2 linked regions of the Elephas maximus indicus genome follow. The protein of the gene in region 1 purifies or fractionates together with the protein of each later gene. This does not show direct contact. Links are inferred from orthologs where the notes say so. Each region holds a gene or a part of one and is shown in the gene's direction. Other genes may lie near its edges.

Region 1 (7,246 bases):
ATTGGCTAGCACTAGGACTACAACAGTCGCATAGTTGCTAGCTCCATCTCCTATTTGAATTACCTCAAATTCATCACTTCACATTTCCACCAGTGCCTATTCGAAACAAAAATGGGACTAAACCAGACCCTTGGTTAAGACTTCAATGGCTGCCCAAGGGCTAAATCCAAACTTCTCGGCGTCGCTTACAGGCTCTTCAAGGCCCACGAGAACCCACGCCTCTCCCGCCGCAGCCCCCCGCATCCCTAAATCGAAAGCACCGACCATTTGGTTCCTCCCTGAATTCCCAGCAAATCCAGTAAGTCTATATACCCAAACCATGATTAATTCCCATCTTGCACACAAGAGCTCAGAAATACTCAGCAAACACTAGGTGACCTGCCCAGCAGACCGTGAAGCTGTGTCTGGGTACCGTATGTCCGCACCCCAGCCCTGTCGCTTCACACTAATGCAGGAAAGGCTGTGACGTCGACTCTCGGTTCGAATCCCTCCCAGGACACCCATGTCACCGCCGCCCATCAGTAAAGCCCAGGAGCCAACGGAGCAACGGGCAGGGAAGCAGTCACAGACCTCAAGAGAACGGAACACAACGGCGACAGCGGCCGGGGGCGCCCGCGCACTGCCACTGGTCCTCCCCCAGCGAAGAAATTACCTGCTGCAAGTACTGGTTGATGGTGATGTGCGCCATGGAAGCGGCGGCCAGTCCTGCGCTCAGTCTGGCCGACACCAGCCTCTCCCACTTCCGCCCGCGCGCTGACGTCACTTCCGGCCCAGCGGCGGAGCGCGCGCCCGCCGCCCGGCCACGCCTTCCTCTCGGGGTCGCTGGGAGGGGGCGCTCCCGGGGGGCCGGCCCTCTTCCACCGTGGGCTGAGGGAGGCGGCTGAGGGATGCTCAGGGAGGAGGCTCAGGGGGGAGGCTCAGCGGGGAGGCTGAGAGGGAGGAGGCCCAGGGAGGAGGCTGAGAGGGAGGCTCAGGGGGGAGGCCCAGGGAGGAGGTTCAGGGAGGAGGCTGAGGGATGCTCAGGGAGGAGGCTGAGGGAGGAGGCCCAGGGAGGAGGCTGAGGGATGCTCAGGGAGGAGGCTGAGGGAGGAGGCCCAGGGAGGAGGCTGAGGGATGCTCAGGGAGGAGGCTGAGAGGGAGGAGGCCCAGGGAGGAGGCTGAGAGGGAGGAGGCCCAGGGAGGAGGCTGAGAGGGAGGAGGCCCAGGGAGGAGGCTGAGGGATGCTCAGGGAGGAGGCTCAGAGAGGAGGCCCAGGGAGGAGGCTGAGAGGGAGGAGGCCCAGGGAGGAGGCTGAGAGGGAGGAGGCCCAGGGAGGAGGCTGAGGGATGCTCAGGGAGGAGGCTGAGGGATGCTCAGGGAGGAGGCTGAGGGATGCTCAGGGAGGAGGCCCAGGGAGGAGGCTGAGAGGGAGGAGGCCCAGGGAGGAGGCTGAAGGATGCTCAGGGAGGAGGCTGAGGGATGCTCAGGGAGGAGGCTGAGAGGGAGGAGGCCCAGGGAGGAGGCTGAGGGATGCTCAGGGAGGAGGCTGAGGGATGCTCAGGGAGGAGGCCCAGGGAGGAGGCTGAGGTGCCTTCCCGGCGGACTTCCTCTCGCCAGCTCTCAGCGAGGCAGCTCCCTCGCTCGCGTTCTCGGTTTTTGTTTGGTTCCACCGGCAGGCGCAGGACCACAGACTGGGGCAATGGGGGTTTTCATGGGAGTCCCTGGGGAGCCGAGGGTTGCCGTTTCTCGGCGGAGAACAGCCTCATGGCCTCGCTGCCGCGCGATACCCTCGGCTCCTGCGTGTTCAAAGGAAAAATCCCACCGCCGACGGGGACGGGACCGTGTCTACACACCCTTCCCCCGACCGCCCTGGTCCTCGGCGCCCCGGGCCGCGCACGCGCGGTGGCAGCGGCCGGTGTCCATCCCGCTGGCAGCGCGACCCCGCGGGCCCGTAACGAGGGCGGGGGCTCCTGGGGGTCCCGGGGGTCCGGCCGCTCCGGGGCCCCTCGGCCTCTCCGTACGAGCTTCCGCCCGCAAAGGGCCGCGCCACTGGCGGACCGAGATGGGGACAGCCATGAAGAGCCGGCCCCGAGTCCAGGGCGCTGCGCCGTGGGGCGGGGGACCCGGGATCGAACAGGGGACCAGGCGCGAATCGGCGGTTGGGAGCAAGCTCGTGGAAGGCCCGGCGGTGCCGCGGCTCGCGCGGCCCCGGCCCCCTTCCCGAGGCGGAGTCCCGCGGCCCGGGCCGGGGCAGGGGGCGGGCCCCGGGAAGTGGAGGCCGCTGGCGGGGGCGGAGAGGAGGCCGGGTTCCGGCTCCGGCCGGCGGCGGTGTTTACGGCGCGCGGGCGCAGGCTTCCAGCGGGCGGCCGTGCGGGCGCGGAGAACTTTTATCTGGGAGAAGGGACGGCCGGCGAGGGACGAGCGGGGCGGCGGCCCCGGGCGCGCTCTCGGCGGAGGCTCCCGGGACTCCCTTCGCTCCGCGGCCGCCGGCGAGGCCTAGCTCGCACCCCGGAGGGGCCGGGGCACCGGGCAGGGGCGGAGAAGGAGGCGGGGAGAGCAGGCCGGGGCAGGAGGAGGAGGAGGAGGAGGAGGAAGCGCGGCCGGGCCGCGACTGGAGGCGGGAACAGGCCGAGGGCGGGGGTGGGGCGGAGCGGCCGCCGCCGGTTTGTTTTCTCGGCAGTAGACATGGCAGACGAGACCCCCAAAAAGGGAAACTTTTCGGCTCTCGTCGGGCACACCAATGGCCTCACGAAACCTGCCTCCCTGGCAGCCGCCGCCGCCGTCACCACCAAACCTGGGGGCGGCAGCGGCTCCAAGAAATTAGTGATCAAAAATTTCCGAGGTAGGTGCGTGAGGGCGAGCGCGCCCGGGCTGGGGGAGGGGCGGCGGAGCCGAAACGGCCTCGGGACGGGCCTGCCCCGCGCGGCCCCGGGGGCTGGCGGACACAGCGGCCGGGCCAGCACGTCCCGCCGGGGCGACGGGCCGGGGCGCGGGGCGCGGGGCGACGGACGAGGGCGCATGGCGACGGTGCGGGGCGCGGGGCGACGGACGAGGGCGCATGGCGACGGTGCGGGGCGACGGGCCGGGGCGCGGGGCGACGGGCCAGGGTGCGGGGCGACGGACGAGGGCGCGGGGCGGCGGGCCGGGGCGCGGGGCGGCGGGGCGGCGGACGAGGGCTCGGGGCGACGGGCCGGGGCGCAGGACTACGGACAAGGGCGCATGGCGACGGGCCGGGGCGCGGGGCGACGGCCGGCCGCGGCGGTCCCGGGAGGAAGGGGCGGCCGAGCGACTTCCTGCGCCCCCCGCCGGCGGCGGGTGCGTGGGGCCGCGCGGCGCGGACGTCGGAGCGGCGACGGCCAATGGGGAAGGGGCGCGGGTCGGCCTCCCTGCGCACGCGCCGCGCTGACCTGCGCCGACCTCGGCCGCGCTGGACCCTGCGGGGTCGGGGACCCAGAGCCGCCGCGGTGCTTCGGGGTCCCGCCGGGCCTGCCCTCTGCGTCTCGGCCTTCTGTCGGCCGCCGGCTAGCTTTCTAGTCTGTGCTGCCTCGTGAGATCTCTGTGTAACGTGGACATCACTTTGGTCCAGTTCCCAGGGACTTTTGGACTCCGTACACCTTTCCCGGTACCGAGTTCAGGGAGGTTTGAAATCTTGTGCGAGACTAGGACGGCACATCCCTCCCCTAAGATAGAAAGAAAGAGGCCCAGTGAGTCGGCAGTTTAGCCTCCTGACTCAGGGCGCGTACCCGGAGCTCAGCACTGTGCGCCTCAGGACGCAGACCCTGCAGAAATAGGGATCGTCCGTTAAGTGTGTACACACGGACTTTTTAAACTTCACCTGACCGCCCTAAATATGGGACATTGGAGATTTATACCATATCAGGTCTTCTTTGTAGCAGTGTTTTGTTCTCATGACTCTATGCAATTGATAGAAAAATCATAAATTAGATAAATAATGTATGGTGATTGGCACAGCTGAACCAGAATAAGCCACTACTGCGCGCGTCACTGTACTTTCTGTTACTTCCTCCACCTCTTACCACCTCTATCTTGGATAATATCTCAAAATAAGCATCTTTGATGCGGGTATATACAATTACAAGCTTACTCTTTACCTTCCAATGTTAGATAATTTATATCAATTTAAAATTGCGTAGAGCTTAACTGTGCCACGTTTATAATGTTCTGATGTCAACTTGTTAAGGAAACTAAGATGTGTAAATTTGAAGTATTCATCCTAACTAACTATTAGTACTAAGTATTGAAATAAAGATGTTACCGTTGCTTAGTCCATAACCCAAGGAATTTATAAATGCAATACTTTGAATTTGGAAAACTTGATTTTCCTGTTTTTTCTGCTTTTAAGTATTTTTCTTTGAGAACATTTTAGAAGATGTGTTACTGTCCTGTGGCAGCCCTTCTCCACTGATTCTCTTTCTGAATTTACAGACAGACCTAAACTGCCGGATAATTACACTCAGGATACATGGCACAAGCTTCATGAGGCAGTGAAAGCCATACAAAGTAGTACCTCCATTAAATACAACCTCGAAGAGCTCTACCAGGTAAGGGTCCAAATGTAGTAAACTGTAGAGTTTGCTAGAATTTCTGTTGAGACGTGAATGTGGAATTTTCTTAGACCTGGAGAAGTTCCTCAGAACTTGATTTGGTTGACATCTTGTCATTACAGTTACCTGGTTGTCTCTCTAGTTGTTTAAACGCATCGCCCAGTTCCTGTGAAATGTGATACAGGTGAAGATTCTACATTCCACTTTAAGAGAGTCAGCAGTGACAGAATATGAATCCAGAATGTCTCAGTATGTTTGCCTCAAACAGGAACAACAGGAGTCCTGTGAAAGTGGGTCCTGGTGTGTTTTTGTTCATTGGTTCTTATTGGGTTTTTATTTTGTTTTCAGGCTTAAGCTGCCTGGGAAGATTTTAGTTATCACATTGCAAGAATAAGGTGGGATGTTTTTCAGAGCCATACGATTCTAGTAATTTCCAAATACGTAGCAAATTATTATTATCACATTATGTTTATGAAATTCTTAATTGTTTTTCTTGTTAATATAGATTTCTCGCTTCATTGTGTTTTGTGATTAATTGCTGAAATGAAGTTCTGTAAACACATTTTATGTTTAATATGAAGTAATGAAATTCCATTTTTCAAGGAAGAAAATGGTTAAAAGAACATTTTATTTGAATTTTTCATTTACAACCTGACTGGTTTTTCTGATTTTTTAAAGAATAACATTCATTAACTAATAGCGGCTACGTTTTAGGCTACAATATCATATCACACAATTATTTCCATTAAAAAGGCTTGCATTTTTAAAGTTACCTTTTTTTCAGATGATGTGAGTGATTGGATTATAAAAATTATGGAAAATACAAAGCAAAAATTACCTATGCTCCCACCAGTCAAAGAAGGTTACTGCTGACATTTTCATGGACATAGTAAATAGTTTGTCTTCCTGTATGTGTTTATGATGTTTTTAATCAGCTTTATTGAAATGTAATTTACACATAATAAAATTTTTTCATTAAGTGTACATAGTTCAGTAAGCTTTAGTAAATGTATACAGCCGTGTAACCACCACCATCAAGACGGGCAATATTTCCATCCCACAACTTCTCTGAGGCCCCTTGCGTTCAGTCCTGTCCCTGACTGCCAACCATCTGCAATTTCTCACTGTATTTTTACCACTTCTATATCTCAAAAAAAAAAAAAAAAATTTTTTTTTATTTATATCTCATCTAAATGTAATCATGCATTTTATAATGCTTTTTATCTGGTTTCTTAGGATAATGCTTTTGAGATTCATTCACGTTGTATGGCAGTAATTTCTTTTCATTGCTCAGTAGTAGTCCACTGTATAGATATACCACAATTGGCTTGTTCATTACCGCTTAATGGATATTTGGTTTCTGTTTTTTTACTGTTGTGAATAAAGCTACTGTGAACAGTAGTGAATAAATCTTTGCGTGGGCATATGTTTTTATTCTAGGTAAAAACCTAGAAGTGGGATTGTAGGGTCATATGGAAAATACATGTTGTTTAACTTTATCAGAAATTTCCCGTCTTCAAACTGGGGGCACCACTTTGCGTTCTACCAGCAGTAGGTGAGAGTGCCAGTTGCCGCACGTCCTTGCCAGCATTTGGTATTGTCAGTCTATTTTAACTTTAGTGCTCTAGAAAGTATATAGTGCGATCTCTTTGTGGTTTTAATTTGCATTTTCCTGGTGACTGATGATAGTAAGCATCTTTCATGTGCTCATTTGTCATCCATATATCTTCATGAAGTGTCTGTTAAGATCTCTTGCCCATTTTTTGAGTTGTTTATTTCTAATTTTTGATTTTTGAGAATTCTCGGTACTTTCTAGGTACAAGTTCTGTATCAAATGTTTCCCTTGTAAATATTTTCTCCCAGGCTGTGGCTTGTCTTTGGATTCTCTAACAGTGGCTCTTGAAGAGCAGTAGTCTTTAATTTTGATTAAGTCAAATGTACCAATTTGTTCTTCTATGGATTGTGCTTTTAGTATCTAAGAATTCTTTGCCCGTTCCAAGGTCACAAAGATTTTCTCTTATTTCCTTCCAGACATGAGGTATAAATTCAGGTTCAATTTTTTCTGTGTAGATGTTCAGTTGTTACAGTACAATCCGTTGAAAAGGCTGTCCTTTCCCCACTAAACTGCCTTTGCACTTTTGTCAAAAATAGGGTTTTTGTTTGTTTCCCATCTCTCAGAGATCACTGTCTTTCGTTTCCAAGTACCTCGTGCCTTGAAACTTGTTTCATATATTTTGTCTGCTTTTTGGTTATTACAGGTGTATAAGTAAACCCTGTCCCTCTGCTTACTTAAGTCCTGCCTAGTACCTAAACTCTCATAGGGCTTAAACAGTGTTTCCAGGTGCCCTGGCGTACCTGTGTGCTTCTGTGGTAATCTCAGGACTAGGGATGCTTGTACCCAAAACGGCAGTCACAGGATTGCTCGCTATGATGAGACATGACACGTTTCCTATAGACATCTCAGAAGATCCTGCTCACCAAGGTTAAGTTCGGGAGTAAATTGACCCCCTCACTGATCGTCGTCGTGTGCACTTAGTCATCTCCTGTTGTATAGGCAGACTCTGGCCCACTGTAGAGAAACACCAATGAATCTAAGTACATAGTTCAAGAGTGAGCAGCCTCAAATTTTTTGGAAGCAAGTTCCAGTTGCCATCGAATCGATTCTGACCGTGGCAGCCCCGTGTGTGTCAGAGGAGAACTGT
Region 2 (7,246 bases), on another chromosome or scaffold:
CCCCCTTCTCCCACTGCTCCTCCCCTCCCTCCCCCTTTCTCCCACTGCTCCTCCCCTCCCTCCTCTTCTCCCACTGCTCCTCCCCTCCCTCCCTTTCTCCCACTGCTCCTCTCCTCCCCCTTTCTCCCACTGCTCGTCCCCTCCCTCCCCCCTTTCTCCCACTGCTCCTCCCCCCTCCTGTTCTCCCACTGCTCCTCCCCCTCCCTCCCCCTTTCTCCAACTGCTCCTCCCCCTCCCTCCCCCTTCTCCCCTCCCTCCCCCTCCCTTCCCCCTTTCTCCCACTGCTCCTCCCCCTCCTCCTTCCTGTCTTCCTCCCACTCCCACCAGCTCAGATGGCACCAGGAGACTTTAGACCAGGATTTCTATGAAGAGATGAGGGTTTCTACTGGGGAGGAACTGGGAGCGATGCAAACACAGCCAGGGTCACTCACCAGGTTTGGGGATCAGGGGAGGAGGCCCCAGGGGACGTTGGCTGGAGGGGGTGTCATGAGGAGAAGGGGAGCCTGGTGGAGGGACCTGGAGAGGGAGGTGCCCAGGCTGGCTCACACCACCCCTTGCATGGGGGTAAGGAGCAGCTTTCTAGAAATGTTGGCTGTAAAAATTTGTTCTTGGAAACAGTTTCCTTCACCAATTCACCCCGGTGGCCCAAGCAGTTAGTATTCTGGAAAAAACCACTCGAGCATGGTTTCCCCTTTTCTTTAGTTCACACTCTCTTCGGCTTCCACTACTGATTTTTCTGAGCGTGACAAATTTTTGGGAAGGATATAAAGGGGTTTAAAACAGATAATAAAGCAAATTACTTGTTTTTGTTAAGCGGCTTTTCCTGCTGGCTATCCGGTTTCCGGATTTCAGCTCTGCAGGGAGGATTTTCTTTTTCACCAGAAGGTTCTACCTCCTGGGGGAGGGCGGGGCCAGGCCCATTTACCTGGGAGTGGAAGTTGGGAAACTGAGTTAACAGATTTGAGTTCTGTGACTTCTGGGGTCAGGACCCTCATCCCACTCTGCCAGGAGGGCTGGGGACTGGAAGTAATTTCTATCTGGGGCTGGAACCTGGGGTGCACAGTTTGGGGGTGGCACTAGGCTGGAGGGAGAGGGAGGGTCTGGTAAACCGTCAACAGAGTTTGGCTTTTGATCTGAGGGCCCTGGGAAGCTATTTCTAAACCTTAGACTGGGGAGAGACAGACCAGAGCTGGAGTTTTCCTATGGCGTGCTGTGTAGAGGTTTGGGAAGGGTAGCATAGTGGTCACTCTGAGATGATGAGGCTGGCATGGAGAGGAGTGGGTGGACCTGAGGACTGAGAGGTATGGGGGGGAATCCAGGGTGGGCTCAGGTGTCCGTCCAGGCCACCAGGTGGCTGGAGATGCCCATCTTAGGCCACCAGGTGGCTGGAGATGCCCATCTTCACCTCTTAGCTGGTTTTGTTAACATTGGAGCATCCCGGCATTTGGCTCCAAGGCACCTGGACCAAGGGTGACCGGGCCTGCTGGACACACAGATCCACGTGAACTATGGCCTTGCCACCCTGTGTCCTCTCTGGGAGAGGGCTCCAGATTGGCTGCCACTCTTCAGCTGTCGTTATCCATGACAGCCACACATCTCACCTTCCGTGGGCGGTTGGTTCCACTTCTAATGCATGGTCCCTTTGTTTGCTCAGGTACCTTGTCCTATTAATTGGAAAATAAGAGTTTGTCTGCCACTCTACCCACAGACCTGGGCAGGGGCGGTGGAGCTGCAGGAGCCAGGGCCACCTCCAAGAGTCTAAGGCCCATGTGGTTTGCAGAAGTGGGGCAGTGGGCTGCGGCTGCTCGTGGATGGAGCAGAACACTGGACCCCAGGTTCTCCTCCTGCCCCTCACTCCTCTCTGAGCCTCACCTGCCCGTCTGTGATGGAGGTGAACACCTGCCTGGGGGCCCCACCAGGGAGGGGCTGTGAAACCAGTTTGCATGCAGTAATTACGAGCATTGTATTCATCACACAACGCTGGGAGGGAAGAAGGTGTGGTGAGCTTGGGGAAGAGCTGGCGCTGGAAGGACTCTCAGCCCCTCGGGCGGAGTCCGGGGACTGAGCCCCAGGTCTTGTAAGCGGAAGGCGTGCGCACCTGTCCGCCTGATGTGTGAGGGTTCACTGAGGCGTTGCGCGGGCTAGCTGCAGATGCTGTCACAGCCAACTGCTGCGACCAGTGGTGTGAGCGTTAATGAAGAATTGATGCCCCAACCGGGCCACCGATTCCGAGGAGAAACGTTGGGCAACTTCCCCTCCTCAGAATCCCCGGGGAACGCCCTGTCCCAGGATGTGGGTGTCGGCTGCAGGGCTGCTCACAAAATTCAAGGGATACAATAGTACATCCCTGTATGTATATTACACTAAAAAAAATCTTTAAAAAGTGCGGGAGAGGCGGGCCCGCACCAGCCAACTTCTGGAGTTGAACGCTTTGGATCAGGAAGCGAGCGCAGCGCCCGGCCCCTTTAAGGCGTTCGGCTGGCCGAGGCCTTCTGCCCCTTGCCGCTCTCCGTAGCGCTCCTCAGAGAGGCCAGCTTTGTGCGTTGGCCCCGCCTCCGGGGCACCGCCCCCTCTCCTCGCGCACGCGCACTGGCAGGGGCCCCCCCCACGCCGCTTGGCGCCCGCCGGACCTGCCGCCTCGTCGAGCTTGGCCCGCGCTGCCGCCCAGGTGGCGGCCGACGCGACGCCCGGCTCCCGGCCCCGCCGCTGCGGCCCAGAGGTAAGCGCCGGCCCGCGGGCCGCAGCGGGGTGGGTGGGCGCGACCCGGCTTCGCCCCCAAACCGTCTCCGGCCGCCGCACGTGTTCCCCGCCAGGCCGGCGCCCCGGGCCTCGGCCCCCGTGGCAGCTCCTTCCCGCGGACCCCAAACCGCCGCCGGCGGGCCCGGGCCCTCCTCGTGCAGACGCCCTCCGTGAGGGCCACCTTCCGCGCCTCCCCAGCCCCCAGCCCCCAGCCGGTGCCCCCTTCGCCCTCCTCCCGGCTCAGGCTCCCCGCCCGTCCCCGTTGCCCCATCTGGCGGCCCCGCCCTGGGTGTCCTGCCCCCCATCCCAGGGGTACCCCCCACACCCCCATTGATTGCAGGTGCCCCTCCCCGGCCCATGTCCCAGTCTCCCCGGAACTTCTCTCTCCGCAGCGGTCACATGACAAGACCAAAGCCCCAGGGGTTGGGACGCCCCTCCCAACCCCCAGCCAGCGTGCACATCGCCCCCTTCCCCTGCATTTCTTCAGAGAGACCCCAGGCCGGTCTGTCCCACATGTGGTCCACGCAGACACTGGCTGAATGCAGACAGGGTTGAGCTCCCCTCTTCTGTAGACATGACCCCTGTTTTCCACCCACCCTGCCCCTGCTGGTTACTCCTGAGCTGCCAGACCCCGTCTCGCCTAAGAGCCTAGAGCCCCGGGTTGGGGTCACTGTGGTGTGAGTCCACCCTCAGGAAGGGAGAAGCCACCGGCCCTCCTGTGGTGGAACCTCAGACCACGCCTGGTCTGGTCTTTGAAAGCCATTTGGGGATATTTTAAAAGATACCCCTTAACCACCTTTGCTGTGCAAGCCTTTACCCACCCAGGTCTTTTCACCAATTCTCTTAAAGAAATGTTGCTGTCCAGTTGATGCCAACTCATAACGACCCTATAGGACATGGTAGAACTGCCCCATAGGGTTTCCAAGGAGTGGCTGGTGGATTCGAGCTGCTCGCCTTGTGGTTAGCAGTCTGAGCTCTTAACCACTGCGCCACCAGGGCTCCAATTCTCGTCAACAAACGTTTTAAAGCTTTGAATCGGGCGGTACTGCACTAGACCTTGCCTCTGAGCTTGGCCCCTAAGGAAGGCAGACAGGTAAGTGGGGAGCAGAAGTATGTCCAAGAGCTGAGGTAGCAGAGAGCTGTTCCTGCCACGACTGCTGCAGGACGGGCTGCCTGAGCTCACCTGGGCGTGTGCACAGAGAAATAGGTGGCCTCTGAGTTCCCACGTCTGGATGGAGCCCAGGAACCTGTGTTTTACCAGAGTCTAGGAAAGCGCTCAAGTTTGGGAGGCTCTGCCTTAGGTGTCAGGCTCACTGGGATCAAAGGCCTGTGGGTGCCTAGAGGGGCGGGAGCTCTGGAGGCAACGTCCAGGTTGCCCTCCGGGTGTGTATTCACCTTCTTGTACCCTGCCTTTTTATTGGTTTGGCCCCTAACCAGCTCCCTGTTCCCTCAAAATAATCCTTTCTCCAAATGTGACCACAGACCTGTCTAAGTGTCTGTGAAGAATGCAGCTGCGGGCGTAGACCCCACCCAGCAAAGCAGAGTCTTGGGGTGCTGAGTCAAGAAATCCATATTCTTAAAGGTCCTTCTCTGCATAGGGTTTTTTTTGCATGTTAATGTTTGAAGGCTGGGCTTGCGCTGGGTGGGGGGTAAGACCACCTACTTTTGCACAAGGGTTTTTTTGCATGTTAATGTTGGAAGGCTGGGCTTGTGCTGGGTGGGGGGTAAGACCACCTACTTCAGCCTTTTGTTCCTCTTGGGCAGCCAATTGGCCGTAGTCACGCCCTGCCTCTAGGCCAGGCTGTTTATGCTAAAAGAACACTTCTGGCCCTTGAGCTGCCCTTTTGTGGAGCCTTTGCCACTGGTGTCCCACCTGGGGCAGGGGCACCAGCCACTTCTCAGCCCTGTGCTGTGATCTGGGCGTCCTTGGATGCATCTGCAGCAGGCTTCCCAGCAGAAGAGAGCTTCGTGCCCGTTGGCTTTGCCCAGTGGGTGTTCCTGGGTAAACTTTCTCCCCTTGGATGAAGACTTTGGGACTTTGTCCTTTTTGATGGGTTCCATTTCGCCTGAAGCTTCAAGCTAGAAGGTACAGTGTGTGAACACACCAGGTGAATGGTAGTGCCAGCTTAGGGGGTTGAATGGCCAGTGACATTTGCAGGAAAGGCTTAGTGGCTCTCCTTTTTAACAGCGGTTTCCCTCATTTCTGGATAACCTGGTGTGGTTTCATGAGAGGTATCCAGTAACGGAGGAGCTCTGGTGGTGCAGTGGTTAAGGGCTTGGCTGCTAACCGAAAGTTAAGTGGTTCAAACCCACCAGCCACCCCCTAGGGTAAAGACGTGGCAGCTTGCTTCCTTAAAGGTTACAGCCTTGGAAACGCTACGGGGCAGTTCGGCTCTGTCCTCTGGGGTTGCTGTGAGTTGGACTCGACTCGTCTGCAACAGGTTTGATTTTGGTTTTATCCAGTAATGGAATGTGCTGCTGTGACAGGAGACTGATGGCTTACTGCACAGGTTTGGGGTGTTTCCCACTGTCGAGCGGACCCTGGCTGAGCTGCAGTCTCTTCCCTCCTCTGCAGTGAGTCTGGCTGCGGGGTCAGTGCCCAGCTTAGGCTCCTTGCAGCTTGCAGGGCAGGCCCTGGGTCACGCTTCAGCTGTGTGCTGAGTTTCCTCACCTGTTGGCGATCTGGAAGCAGCCTGTGCGGTGAGCCCTTGAGCCCACCCTGAGGTGCGGGAGCCCTGGGTGTGCTCACGCCTGCGTCCCCACTCGGGGTGCGTTTTAGGATCTGGATGAGTTGTCACCTTCCGCACCCTGACGCTGAGTCCCCTGTCCTTTGGCACGTTAGTTTTCTGTCAGGAAACCTTTGGGTCTTTTTCTTAACGTATCAAGGGGTCTTTGAAGAAAATTGCATTTTGTGTGGATCAAGCTGCCTTCCTGCCAACGTCTGGGTAACAAAATAGGCAGCCCCGTGCAGCATGGTGACTTTGATTACGGGAAAGGGTGAGGGCAGCGCTGTCTCGCCCAGCATCTGCAGAGCGTTAGTGTGGCCCGAGTCTACTAGTCAGGCTCCCCAGCTCGGAACAGGCTATTTGCTGCCAGGGTCAGTGTGGTGGCCAGGCATTTTTCGTCTTGGTCCTTTGTCCTGGATATTAGCTTTTAAAATGGTTTGTTCATTGGCCTAGGTTCCCCCCGATAGGCTTTGGTAAGCAGACGCCTCTTTCCAGCCTGACTCTTCTGCTCAGAGCTGTGCACCCCGTCCCCCTGCCTGGTGGGCTGCGGAGCCATGGCAACGGAGGAGAAGAAGCCGGAGACCGAAGCTGCCAGGGCACAGCCGACCCCTTCGTCGTCGGCCACTCAGAGCAAGGTGTGTGCAGAGCACTCCTTGGGGGGCTTCTGGGGGAGTATCTGTTTAAAGAGCCTTGGAATATTATTCACGCCCGTAAGTTTATTCTCCGTGCCCAGCTAGATAACGCTGTCAGGTTCTACTGCCTGAGCACGTGCCCGAGGGGTGCTTATGCACCACAGTGGGTTCCCAAACCCATCACCCGGGCAGGAGCTTTATCAGCAATGTAGATGCTTGGTCCTGAGTGTAAGACTCTGAGAGTGAGACCCAGGAGACATCTTTCTGTGAGCCCCCCACCTGGCCCCAGAATCCCAGTGCCCAGCCAGGCCTGCGTGCCCCTCCTGTAGACGACAGGAAGCAAGCAGACCTTTCACCCAGGTAGTGAGGCTCAGATTTGCTTTGGGGAGGCTGGACTTTGGACGGGAGAGGGTGCTGAAGCAAGACCAGAGGTGTGGGGACTCCTTCGATACAGCAGCGTCCCGGTGACGTGACCAGTAGAAAATGGGGTAGTGTGGGGCCTTCAGGTGGCCTCAGACCTTTCTAGCGTGGATGGTGGAACCAGAGGACAGGTGGGGAAGGCAGGAGAAGTAGGTTTGTTTGTGGGGGGGTAGCGGCGTAGTGGTTAAAGCACTTGGCTGCTGACCGAAATGTTGGCAGTTCAAACCCACCAGCCACTGCACAAGACAAAGATGTGGCAGTCAGCTTCTGTAACGACTGCAGCCTTAGAAACTCTACGGGACAGCTCTACTCTGTCCATAGCATCAGTGTGAGTCGGAATCGACTCTGCCAGCACCCAGCAACAATGAGTTTGGACACATTCTAAGTTGAGTGGTGATATCCAGGTAGAGCTTTCCAGGGGCTCTGGGAATACGGATTTGGAAATGAGTCTGAGTTTGAATTAAAGCTTTGGAAATCAGATCCAAGCCAGTAAGCCACTGAGTCACTGAGTGGACGATCGTGTCGCGTTATGCAAACATTGATGTTGCCCATTTCTGATAGCCTACACCTGTCAAACCAAACTACGCTCTGAAGTTCACCTTGGCTGGCCACACAAAAGCCGTGTCCTCCGTGAAGTTCAGTCCCAATGGAGAATGGCTGGCCAGTTCCTGTGAGTACCCCTGCGCTCCTGCCAGCTGCTGGGAGGAGTAGGTTGAGCTGCCGACAAGC

What was found. Proteins that work in one complex are often made in the same cells at the same time.
Region 2: the proteins of CUL4A (region 1) and WDR5 purify together in Homo sapiens (affinity purification with western blotting; 4 studies listed by BioGRID and IntAct, with this or other methods). This does not show direct contact. The link is inferred for Elephas maximus indicus from reciprocal best matches to the Homo sapiens genes CUL4A and WDR5.

What each region holds. Positions count from the first base shown.
Region 1 is NC_064841.1:79,609,832-79,617,077, forward strand, and holds the start of CUL4A (cullin-4A), read left to right. Parts: upstream 1-2,583; 5' UTR 2,584-2,664; coding exon 2,665-2,821; intron 2,822-4,425; coding exon 4,426-4,541; intron 4,542-4,687; exon of another isoform or gene 4,688-4,774; coding exon of another isoform or gene 4,775-4,834; intron 4,835-7,246. Other genes in the region: PCID2 (PCI domain-containing protein 2), read right to left, coding at 653-688. UniProt on the Homo sapiens protein: Core component of multiple cullin-RING-based E3 ubiquitin-protein ligase complexes which mediate the ubiquitination of target proteins. As a scaffold protein may contribute to catalysis through positioning of the substrate and the ubiquitin-conjugating enzyme.
Region 2 is NC_064827.1:4,451,158-4,458,403, reverse strand, and holds the start of WDR5 (WD repeat-containing protein 5), read left to right. Parts: upstream 1-2,607; 5' UTR 2,608-2,719; intron 2,720-5,918; exon of another isoform or gene 5,919-5,960; 5' UTR 5,961-6,019; coding exon 6,020-6,100; intron 6,101-7,078; coding exon 7,079-7,187; intron 7,188-7,246.